2 linked regions of the Rattus norvegicus genome follow. The protein of the gene in region 1 binds, or shares a complex with, the protein of each later gene. Links are inferred from orthologs where the notes say so. Each region holds a gene or a part of one and is shown on either strand. Other genes may lie near its edges.

The links. The genes of interacting proteins can lie anywhere in the genome.
Region 2: the proteins of Plekhm2 (region 1) and Arl8b are in contact, whole or in part, in a crystal structure (PDB 8JCA), measured with the Homo sapiens proteins. The link is inferred for Rattus norvegicus from reciprocal best matches to the Homo sapiens genes PLEKHM2 and ARL8B. Residues at the interface, in NP_055979.2 of Homo sapiens: His70, Phe71, Thr72, Arg73, Arg74, Glu75, Glu103, Ser105, Glu107, Ser108, Tyr109, Arg111, Leu112, Glu115, Glu147, Phe148; in NP_060654.1 of Homo sapiens: Glu22, Thr52, Val53, Gly54, Phe55, Asn56, Met57, Lys68, Trp70, Arg77, Phe78, Arg84, Tyr85, Arg87, Gly88, Val89.

The regions. Positions count from the first base shown.
Region 1 is NC_086023.1:159,221,821-159,227,786, reverse strand, and holds the end of Plekhm2 (pleckstrin homology domain-containing family M member 2), read left to right. Parts: intron 1-221; coding exon 222-286; intron 287-613; coding exon 614-702; intron 703-1,271; coding exon 1,272-1,404; intron 1,405-1,625; coding exon 1,626-1,816; intron 1,817-2,065; coding exon 2,066-2,131; intron 2,132-2,817; coding exon 2,818-2,977; intron 2,978-3,197; coding exon 3,198-3,377; intron 3,378-3,454; coding exon 3,455-3,571; intron 3,572-4,177; coding exon 4,178-4,315; 3' UTR 4,316-4,487; downstream 4,488-5,966. UniProt on the Homo sapiens protein: Plays a role in lysosomes movement and localization at the cell periphery acting as an effector of ARL8B.
Region 2 is NC_086022.1:143,334,313-143,340,278, forward strand, and holds part of Arl8b (ADP-ribosylation factor-like protein 8B), read left to right. Parts: intron 1-3,359; coding exon 3,360-3,440; intron 3,441-4,470; coding exon 4,471-4,544; intron 4,545-4,727; coding exon 4,728-4,821; intron 4,822-5,966. UniProt on the Homo sapiens protein: Small GTPase which cycles between active GTP-bound and inactive GDP-bound states.

The sequences.
Region 1 (5,966 bases):
CCGGGCTCCTTCCCAACCCCCACCGTAGGCTTGAATTAATAACGAAGCGTCCGGAGGGAGGTATTGCTAGCTGGGCTGAGCACCCTGTCTGTCATTCTGCTACACCATCACTTCCTTTTGCAGGGCAAGAAGGGCTGGGTCTCTGAAAATGGGCCTGGGGGGGGTGTGGGGAGGGGCAAGAGGCCAGCGAGAGTAATAGGCATTCCGGTCTCCTCTCTCAGGGGCCACAGAAAAGCCATACCTGGTGGAAGAGGCTGTTTCTTACAATGAACTTGACTATGTGTCGGTGAGTGCAGGCTCTGCAGTTGGTGTGCCCACGGAAGTACAGGGCTTCTCAGGCTACCCCTGCCTAGAGCTGTAGCACGCAGGCGACAGGTGCCAACGTCTACAGAGGCTTCTGTACTTGTGCTGGAGACGGGAGTTAAGGGTGAAGATACCTCTTCCCGCACTAGATCTCTGACCATCTTCCCTAACTCATCCAGACCCTAGTCTTGGTCAGAGGCTTTAGTAGTGACCCCAAACATGCGGTTTCTCCCTTCCCAGTCCCAGCCAACCCTTAGTACGCACGCTCCTCCTGCCGGGCGGTGGCCAAGTCCTGTGTGTTTTCTGGCAGGTTGGCCTGGACCAACAGACTGTCAAGCTGGTGTGCACCAACCGCAGGAAGCAGTTTCTGCTGGACACGGCCGACGTGGCCCTGGCTGAGTGAGTGTCAGCCCCTGCCCCCCAACAGGACAGGAGAATCAGCATCTGCCATGGGCATGGCCCTGGCTGGGGGTAGAAGGAGACACCAATCTGTTCCCCCAAGAGCCTGCGGCCTGCTCAGAGAGGCAGGGAAGTGGACAGTCACTGACCGACTGACTCACGTCAGCTCAGGTGACCTCAGCCCCTCAGGACCCACGGAGAGGACGGGGGCTGGTGTGAGGTCCAACGGGAGGGGAGGCACAAGAGCTGGGCTGCTGTCCGGGTGTGTCCTGGACTACGGACATGGGGATCCCAAGTGAGAAGGTCATTTCTATTCCTATATTGGAGTGGTTGGATCCTACTGTCCAGCTGTCCGGGTAGCCTACTGTCAGAATCCAAGGCTACTTGGACATTAGGGATGGTCAGGCCTTTTCTGTCGTGCATGGCTCTGACCCCATCATTGCCTGCTGCTGCCCAGCACCCTCAGCCCCTATTTCTTGTGAGCTCTAATGGCCAGGCATTCTCAGGACAAAGCCAAGGACCTATCCCCAGGACCTGTCCTCTGACAGCAAACTGTGCTCCCCGAACAGGCTGTTCTTGGCGTCTCTGAAGTCAGCCATGATCAAAGGTTGCCGGGAACCACCCTACCCCAGCGTCTTGACTGATGCCACCATGGAGAGGCTGGCGCTGGCAAAATTTGTCGCCCAGGAATCCAAATGTGAGGTTAGTAGCTGGTGAGGAGACCCAGTGACACTCCACTGGCCTGCCCTGGTTTTAAGACTAACTTAGAAAAAAAAAAAAAAAAAAAAAAAAGACTAACTTAGTTACGCCCGAGGTGTTTCCCAGTCACCTCATGGGAAGTGGAACTGGGTTATGGGTAAGCTGAGGCTTGACCTCCGCTCTGCCAAGGCCTCACCTACTTGGTCTGTTGCCTCCACCCCCAGGCATCCACTGTGACCGTGCACTTCTACGGACTTGTACACTGGGAGGACCCCATGGAAGAGGCCCTGGGCCCTGTTCCTTGCCAGTGCTCACCCGCTGAGGGCACGATCACCAAAGAAGGCATGCTCCACTATAAGGCCAGCACCTCCTACCTGGGCAAAGAGCACTGGAAGGCCTGCTTCGTGGTGCTCAGGTGGGAGCCCCAGGAGCTGTGGGCCCAGGCAGGTGTCAAGTCCCTAGCGAGAAAGGCCCAAGGGCGGGTGCCCCCTTTTCCACCGCGCTGTGGGGTCACCCAGAGATATAGAGCTTCTCTATACAGCCACGCTCAGATGCCTTCCTCACCCCTCCATAGAAAGCGGGTCCCTGGTCCCCAGCCAGTATACAGGGAATTCCTGGGATCTCCTTAGCCAGGCCTCACTTCACTGTAACTGTGACCCTGTAGCAATGGGATCCTCTACCAGTATCCTGATCGCACTGACGTCATCCCCCTGCTCTCCGTGAACATGGGGTAAGTGTCCCAGGAGAAGGGAACTGTGCAGGTGTCATGACTGGGTGCCCTGCGTGGAGGTCAGCTATGACTGCGTCTGAAGCTTGCGGTTCCGTTCACCTCCTCACCTTATCCTGTAACCCTGACTAGTGCCTTGTGCTTTGCAAACTGTTAGGCGCTGGGGATGCCTGATGAACAAGGAGGTGCCCTTTAGCCTAGGAAAGGGAACCCTTTCCCAGGAATTCCAGCCAATGAGGGGCGGGCTGTGGAGGAAGTGGGCGGGCGGGCGGGCGGGCAGTGGTTCTGAGCAGGTGCAGTGAGTGGCTTTGTACTCTTTCCTCACCATTTTTGGGAACCCCAAGGGCTCTTGGTAATTCTGGAAATACTGGTTGTCAGATAGAGTGGCTCACTTCCAATCCAGTGTGGGATAGAAGCAGGAGGATCAGAAGTTCCAGGTCGTCCTCTACTATAGGGCTACGTCACACCCTGTCTTAAAAGAAAAAAAGGTGGGGGGGAGGCTGTTTTACACACACACACACACACACACACACACACACACACACACACAAACCCGTGGGCTAGCCAAGCATATGCAAATGTCCCTAGAGCCCAAGGCCCAGTGACTGCACACCTGCACACCCCTGCCCACCTTAGGGTCTCCCACTCCTGCCTCCGCCCTCCCATTTCACGCTCTTCCTCTGGCCCAGTGGGGAGCAGTGCGGTGGCTGCCGGAGATCCAACACCACGGATCGGCCCCACGCCTTCCAGGTCATTCTGGCTGACCGGCCTTGCCTGGAGCTAAGCGCCGACAGTGAGGCCGAGATGGCAGACTGGATGCAACATCTTTGCCAGGCCGTATCCAAAGGAGTAAGCCCATCTGCGCCCACCACCATCTGCCCAGCCTGGTCCGCCCCCACCCCAACCGCCACCACCACCAGGCGGCCGCCCCAACCGCCACCCCACCCCGACCACTACCCCACCCCCATGGCACCCCCATTAAACTACTGAGGTAGACTCTACAGGGGATTCCTGGTGCAGGCCACCCTGGAGAAGCAACCTGCCTCTCTCACCTTCTGCCAATGTCCAGGTCATACCCCAGGGCATAGCTCCCAGCCCCTGTATCCCTTGCTGTCTGGTGATCACGGAGGACCGCCTCTTCACATGCCACGAAGATTGCCAAACCAGCTTCTTCCGCTCCCTGGGCACAGCCAGACTGGCGGACATCACTGCTATCTCCACTGAGTTAGGCAAGGAGTACTGTGTCCTGGTGAGTGGGCAGGGACGGGCGCACAGGCTCTGCCGGAGGAAATCCCCGCATATTCACCTAGAATCTGCTGCTCCTAGGAGTTCTCCCAGGATAGCCCCCAGCTGCCGAAGCCCTGGGTCATCTACATGAGCTGCACTTCCGAGTTGGACCGGTTCCTGACCGCCCTGAGCTCTGGGTGGAAAGCCATCTACCAGGTACCAAGGGTTCTGAGGACAGCAATTTGTCACCAACTCTAGACAGACAGAAACTTAGAGCTAAAAAAAAAAAAGCAAGCTCCACTGTCAACAGGTCTGTCAAAACTAAAAATACCACCAGGAGCTGCCATTCCTGAGCTGAGTCCCAGTCACTGTGGGACTCTTGGCGGACCTGGTGAGATGTAAGACAGGCCCTTCCCCCTCCCAGAGCTGCAGGAGCAGCCCTGGAGAAGTAGCGACTTCTGTTTGGTTTGGTTTTAAAACAAGGTCTTACTATGCAGCTCTGGCTAGTCTTGAACTCACAGGGAAAAATCTATGTCTGGCTCCTGGGATCAAAGGCATGAGCCACCACACCCAGGGAGAGGTACTGCTTTATGCACGGTGCTCCCTGCACCCTGTCATTCTGGGGCAGCTTGAAACTGAGCTAGAAACTGAAAACAGTCATGGACAGATCCCCTCACCCAGTGAATCCCAAGTAGACCTGAGAGCTGGGCCTTGAGGTCTGTGTGCCGAGCAGAGGGGAAACTCACAACACGGAAGATGTCCCAAAGGGCTATGTGGGGAAAGCAGCCTGCAGCCCTTGTGCTTTCTGCTTGTCCATAACAGGTAGACCTTCCTCACAAGGCAATCCATGAAGCTTCCATCAAGCAGAAATTTGAAGATGCCCTGAGCCTCATCCACAGCGCCTGGCAGCGGAGCGACAGCCTCTGCCGCGGCAGGGCCTCCCGGGACCCCTGGTGCTGAGGCTGGGCAACCCTGTGGGCAGGCGGGAAGGAGGTGTGCTGACCAGCCTCTGCACTGTGGTGTGCCGCCATGGCGTTTCAGAGCCAGGGGCCAACAACCCACTCCTGCCTTGGGGTGGCAGAACCACTTAGTGTGGCTGGCGTGAGAGAGGAATTCAGTCAGTGCCTGGCACCACAGGCATCCTGCCCGATGGTAGTGACTAGAGGTCACTGGGGCAGACGGTCTGAGCCCTGTGGGCTCCGTAGACACTTGGTGTCCCCGGCCACCACTTTAGTCCTCACCATCTGCTCAGGGTGGCGGAGAGAAGGATAGTATCCGTTGAAGGGGGAGCAAAGAGACCAGGAGGATGGGCGTGCTGTCTTCCTCTCTTGGGTCAGGGGCCTGGGCGGATGGTCAGGGCCCCCTGGGGTCCTGAGTGCCCAGCCACCCTTGTTCGTTTTTGAACACTGTCCCCACTGCACAGGGAAACGTGAGCACTAGGTATCTGTGCATGCCCCCTCTCACGAATCCACCCCATGCACAGCAGCCTGTCTCGCACAGCCTGGGCCCAGCCGGCAGCTCTCCATGGCTAAAAGGGGCCCTGCATGTCCATAGCCCTGCCTTTCCTCTTCCTCAAGTACAGCAGAGCTCGTAGGACCACAGATCAGTTGTTCCTCTTGTCAGGAGCAAAAGACAAGGGCTGAGAGAGGGAGCAGAGTCCATGAGCACAGTGTCTTCTTTGACACCTGACAACCTACCCCTGCTTGGCCAGAGCTAGCCCTTCCTGAGGTCTCTATTAGGTCCCTTGAGGGACAGACAGGTCAGGTGGATTGGGTTTTGTTTTTTAAAATAAAATTGATGTTATATTGCTGAGACTTGTCCCTGACCCTCTTTCAGTGAGAGGTAGGTGGGGCTCTCAGTCTGGGTCACACACGCACACACGCACGCACGCACACACACGCACACACGCACACAAGAAGAATCAGCTCCAGGTTGGCCTAGGCTGTTCCATGGCACTGCTGCCTGGAGGAGAAAGTCCCTCGAAGTTCCTGTGCCTTCCGGTTTCCTACATGGCCACCACAAGAGGGAGCCTGGTGGCTTGGTTCTTAAGGAAAACTGAGAGAAACACCAGGATTACTCCTCTCCTCATGAGGGCCCGGTCACTCCATTCCATCCCACACAGGGACTCTGAAGTTTTGAGTGAAAATGGTTGGGGCACTAGAAGCTGGGGACACAGGAGGGGTGTGGACCGCCTTTCATTGGATGAAGCAGACCATTTTTTAAAAATTTATTTATTATATATAAGTGCACCATAGCTGTCTTCAGACACAGCAGAAGAGGGCATCGGATCACATTACAGATGGTTGTGAGCCACCCCGTGGTTGCTGGGATTTGAACTCAGAACCTCAGGAAGAGCAGTCAGTGCTCTTAACTGCTAAGCCATCTTTCCAGTCCTGAAGCAGGCTTTTCACTCGGCAGTCACCCAGAGGCCGTTCTGGAGTGACCCTCCTGTAATGGGCAGCAAGTACCACCTCCACAGTCTGGTTCCCTACCGTCGTGAGCAGTGAAACCAGGAAATGGAAAATTCTAGAAATAAGCCCTTGTACGGTTTTTAAATATGTGCACAGGTTTGCATACTGTTTGCAGCCTGCACAGATTTGGCTCATCCGGC
Region 2 (5,966 bases), on another chromosome or scaffold:
TTGGCCTCACAGTAGGGTGAGCATTTTTAAGAGAAAGTGATCACATTGCAAGACTCAGGGTCAGGCTTAGCATGCAGCGCTGGTCTCTGAGAACTAGCTCTGGTAGGCATGGGAGTGACTAGTCTTTTCTCAGGTAGTGCTCCTGATAAACCAGCATGTCTTCTAGACCCCACATTGTAGTGCCACTATGGGGTCAAACTTTGAACATGAATTCTAGGGACACGAGCTGCATCCTGACTGTAGCATGTCAGAGATCCATTGTTGGCTTTTGAAGAGCCCCACACTGTTTCTGCTAGCAGCTGTGTAACACAGTCTCCTGCCCTCTGTACACAGCAAAGGTTTCAGCTTCTTTGCAACCTTCCTTTCTGTTTTTCAGACAGGATCCACCTGTGTAGTTCAGTCTTTGGCCTTACATTTGTGATTCTACTGCCTTAGCTTCCAAGTCAAGATGGGATTACAGGTGTATTTACATCCAGCCTAGAAACACTTCTTTTCTGAATTTTAAACTTTATTTTCTTAGTAGCTGTCTTAATGTTTTACAACACTATCTTTGTTTTAAAATGTGTTTCCCTAATGACTAGTGATGTAAAACATCTTTTCATGGGCTTATGTGTGTGTCGCACATCATGCTATCATTTTGATAGCACTAGGTTTTGTTGTTTGTGAGATAGTGGATCATTTTGTAGCTCTGGCTGCTTTCTGCATAGATCAGGCTAGCCTTGAACTCAAAGAGATCCTACTGCCTCTGCCTCTCAAGTGCTGGGGTTAAAGGCGTATGCCACCATGGCCCAACTAGCACTAGATTTTTTTTTTAATGTGTAATTTGTATGGACTGAATGTAGAGTTCTATGACTGTAATTCCAGCTTTTGGGAGGTAGAGAGAGGCAGGAGTATTTGCATAAGTTTAGGGTCAGCTGGAACTATTTAGTGAGACTATTTCAAGCAAACATATATTATGTGAAAATTCCGAGAGTGATGTTGTATATATTCGAAAGTAATGATTTCAGTTACTTAAATTTTTACTTTCTAGATCAAACAGAACACTGCTGAACTGACAGGAAACCAAAACAAAACAAAAAAAACTTTCTGAGTTCTGCACAGGAAATGAATTTGTAAAGTTGGAGTCCGTGTTGCTGAGAACTTAAAAGTATAGAATGCTGGTGTGGGTGACATAAAGTCACAGTACACAATAAACCAGTGTTGGGGCCTCACAGGAAAAAAAAAATCTTACTTGCTTGAGTTGTCTCTTGAGAGTAGTCCTGTTGTTTAACCAGCACCATGTTGACCAGTTCGGAAGTTCAACTGAGAAAGCTTCTAGTCGGTAAAGTGTCTAGGATAGAAACACATCCATTTAGCATTGACCGTGGTTCAGAGGATATGGTGTGGAATGTGAGACTCCTGAGTAATATGACAGTGTATAGAAGCTGTAAAAGATTAGAATAATAACCCAGTGGGTAAATCAGGTGCTTTGTGGAGTGATTTGGTAGCCATTAAATACTGAACACTGACAAAGGGTAGCAATAATTCTGACTGATGTGTTAACAAAGTTACTAATTTGTAAGATTTCTTTGGAATGTGGGAGATGAATCAAGACAATTTGAAACCATTCTAAATTTTTAATCTTTGATACATTGTAATATTACAACACAAATCTACTGTTTATTCAGAAATACACAATAATGGGAAAAAATGAGGACCCAGATGTTTATTTTTCTCTGTATGATGTTTAGCATGCCGTTTCTAATTAGGAAAGGGTAGATTTAAAAGCAGTGAGATATAATGGTTATTGGTCGTCCAGTTGAAAATAGAAACTTTCTGAAAGTACATAATCAAATTCCAAAGAGAGGAGTATTAAGTATTCCATTTATTTATGTGTTGAGTGTTTGCATGCATGTGTATGCGTACCATGACATGCATGTGTGTGTTCAGATGACTCACAAAAAACTCTGCTTTCTCTCAAGCTTGTTGGTAAGCGCCTATACCCGCTGAGCTGTCTTGCTGGCCCCGGATAAGCATTTTGAATGTAAAATATTAATAAAACTATTGTAAAGCATCTAATTTTAGTCTTAACACAGATACTAAAATTAAGCCAAAAAGGGAACAAATTGATTGATTCATAAAATGAAGTTCTAAATTAAAGTGCATTTTATTAGTTCTATTAGAGACAAACTGAAATAATCTACTCTTCAGTATTTTTTCTCAGAACTGTTTGTTTCAGCATTAAGTTTTAACATTTATTGCCAAAGCAGTTTAGCTACCGAAGAAAAAACTATAAAGTTTTCCTCTTGACTTCTCATTTCTTTGTGAAAATGTGTGGAGAAGTGAGAATTTGTAAATTTTCATGTCATACTGTAAAAACTCTTCTGCATTTAAAAGATTTCTTTTATGCGTGTGGGTATTTTGCCAGCAAGAATGTATCTCTACCATATGCATATAGCGCTCACACGCACCAAAAGAGGGCGTCAAATCCTTGGGACCGAATGACGTTACAGACGGTTATGAGCTGCCCTGTGGGTTCTGGGAATCAAACTTGGGCCGCCTGGAAGAGCAGGCAGTGCTCTTAGGCGCTGAGCTGTTTCCCCAGCTGCCCCTCACACTTTCTTTTTTTTTTTTTCTTTTTCTTTTTTTTTTGGAGCTGGGGACCGAACCCAGGGCCTTGCGCTTGCTAGGCAAGTGCTCTACCGCTGAGCTAAATCCCCAACCCCCACAATTTCTATTTATATATAGACCTATTTGGCCTAGAGATGGCTGTTGAGAATAGGCTGACCTTGAACTCACAGACACATGCCTGTGACACAAAGGTATATATATTACTGTGTTTGGCAAAAGTTTCCCTTTTCAATTTAGGAACATCTATAAGAAATACCAGTACATTTCCAAAATGCCCTTCTTTTGAGACGGGGTGTTGCCCAGGCCAGGCAGCTCTTAAACCTGTGGCTGTTCTGCCTTAGCACTCCTCCTTCTGGGATTACAGATGTGAGATGTACTGTCTGCCTCAAAATAATATATTTTTTTATTCACTTATTAGTAGTGTGTGTGTGTGTGTGTGTGTGTGTATGTATGTATGTATGTATGTATGTATGTGTGTAGTATGCTTACCAAAGTGCATATGTGGAGGTCAGAGAAGAACTTTGGGGAGTCATTCCTCACCTTTCACCTTTATGTGGGTTCTGAGATTGGACCTCAGGTTTCCAGGCCCATTTAGCAAGTGCTTCCCTGGTTCCAAAATACCCTTTTAAAAATCAGATGTTTCCATTTTAAAAATAGATACAAATGCAATATTGATAACTAGAAGATTATATAATGTTATGATTCTTTATTATTAATTAATCTAATTTAAAATGTTTTATTTTGTTTAGTCTGGTCAATTCAGTGAAGATATGATACCCACCGTGGGCTTCAACATGAGGAAAGTAACTAAAGGTAACGTCACAATAAAGGTATGTTGGATTCTTATACTTTACATGTATGTTGTATGCATTCATATGTATGTGTCTATATGTATATATGCATGCATGCATGTGTGTTATGTATTGTCCTTTTTATAATTGATTTAAATTGTAATCAGAAAAATTTCTGTTTTCTCTGCTTTTACCTGCTACTTACAATTGCCAGTAATGGATGACATGTTTTGAAAGACTGTAGATCAGTTATTGATGTTTTCTGATAGGTTAAAGTGTTTAAGAGATTAACTGTAGAAGCCCTTAAAAGTCAACTTACCATATGGGTTAGTAGAAGTAACATATCTTGAGAGTTCCAGAAAATAACAGTCCCATGTTCTGCCTGAGTAATGTTTTATATTGAAAGTTGGTAATTACTTACATTAATTTTAGCTCAGTATATTTCTGGTAGTAGATATTGTAACTCAGTTTTTTCTTCATTATTAAGCTTAAAGTGGAAACCAAAATAGGTGTAAAAAGTATAGCTCATTTTTAGTATAATTTCTTTTTAGTTCCTGTTAGGGGATTTAACTTTTTCTTGTAGCTCTTACTTTCATTCTGTAATTCTACGAGTTTAGGCCTCTAGCCTGAACCAGAGACCATTTTACCCAGTTCTTGTTGACAGATGTGCTTGCTAAGTTCTCTGTGGCTCTTTTGACAACAGTCTTCATGAGTTTTATGTAACCATATATAGCACAGTGCCTAATAGAGCAGGCCGAACAGTGATATTTTTATGGGAAATTCTAAGGGAAGGAATGTTGACTCTGGTACTTACAGAGCAATTCAAAATGATGCGCTTCACCTTTAGTAGACAAGCTGCTGTTTTGTTTTGACATCCACATCTGGACGTTGTGTGGTTTTGTAGATGTTAAGCTTGTTATCCTAAAGTTGTGTGGATCCATGATTAGGCCTGTATTGGCTAATAGTGATTAAGCATCACTTTATCATATTTGTCCAAGCAGGTCTTTGTGATTTCCTCATCAATGACTATGATGTATCTTTATTAAGAACTGCCTTGTTTTCATCACAGATCTGGGACATAGGAGGGCAGCCCCGGTTCCGGAGCATGTGGGAGCGGTATTGCAGAGGCGTCAATGCAATTGTGTAAGTTGTTGCCTCTTTTGTTGTTGTTTCCTTTTGCTCCCTTTTCTTCAAAGAATTTGTTTTGTAATGTCTGTTCACCAGCAGTCTTCAGTATTGTAAGTCTTGAGAAATGTAAAATCTATAACTGTAGTTTATTGAGACTATAGTGATAGCATATTGAGATCACTTTGCTTTCTTCTTAAGTTACATGATAGATGCTGCAGATCGAGAAAAGATAGAAGCCTCTCGAAATGAACTGCACAATCTTCTAGATAAGCCACAGTTACAAGGAATCCCAGTAAGTTTGGAGACTCTGTTTTTTATATTTGCAGTTACATATTTAACATTGGGATTGAGTCAATCTTGATATCCCTACAGATGGGTTTTAGGATCCCAAATTTCCACAAATATAGAAGCCTTAAGATTTTTGCTTCCCTTTACCCTTTCTTTTCTTTCCTTCCTTTCTCTCTCTTCTCTTCTCTTTTTTTTTTCTTTTCTTATCCTTGTTTGAGATTAAGCCTTATGATGTGGCCCTGGTGGCCTAGAACATGTGATTTTGTTGCCTCAGCCTCCCAAGTGTTGGAATAATGGTAGTTTGTCACCATACTGGCTTCTCAGGTCCTTTGTGGAAAATGGCATAGTATTTACATGTAAACTGCATACCTTCTTTCATGTTCTTTGAGTTACATTTGGATTACTAATAATATGTAACGTAGCAGAAGTGCTCTGTAATAGTTGCTGACTGTGCTGTTTAGGGAACCTCAGCAAAGGGAAGTCTGTACGTTCAGTGGAATTGTAGTACTCTCCCCTCCCCCAATATTTTTTGGCTTAGTTTTTTGTTTTTTTGAGACAGATTTCATTGTATCTCAGGGAGGCCTGCATCTTGCTACATAGCCCAGCCTGTGAGTCTAGATAATTATGTTTGCAATTAGTAAAATGTGTTTGTTTGTAAAGGTTAAGAGGAATGGCTCCAACATTGTAAAATTGAATATATCTTTCAGATCTTTCTCTACTGCTTATGGCATTTCCTCACTGAAGCAATTATTTGAAGTATTTTTGTTAAGAATTGTTTGTCTCACCTGGTGAGGTTGCTTATGTCTGTAATCCTTGTACTTGGGAAACTGGCAGGATTGCTATGAGTTCTAGGCCAGCCTGGAAAAGTTCTGTGTTGATGTAAAGATCTCTGTGTGGGAGAATAATCACTTTTCTGGAGTGTGTTCACAAAGACTAGGGTCACCTTTGCTCATTGTCTGCTGGATCCTGGATATTATACTGTCCATAGATGCCTTAACCTGATAGACACCAAACTGTGTAGTGAGAGCAGTGCTTGGTTCTGGGAATACTACATGCCAAGGGGGAAATAGATTGAGAGATTGAGTGGGCGTTTAATGGTGCAGTCTGGTGATCAATCAGTATGAAGACAAGCACAGAAGTGTCCAAGAA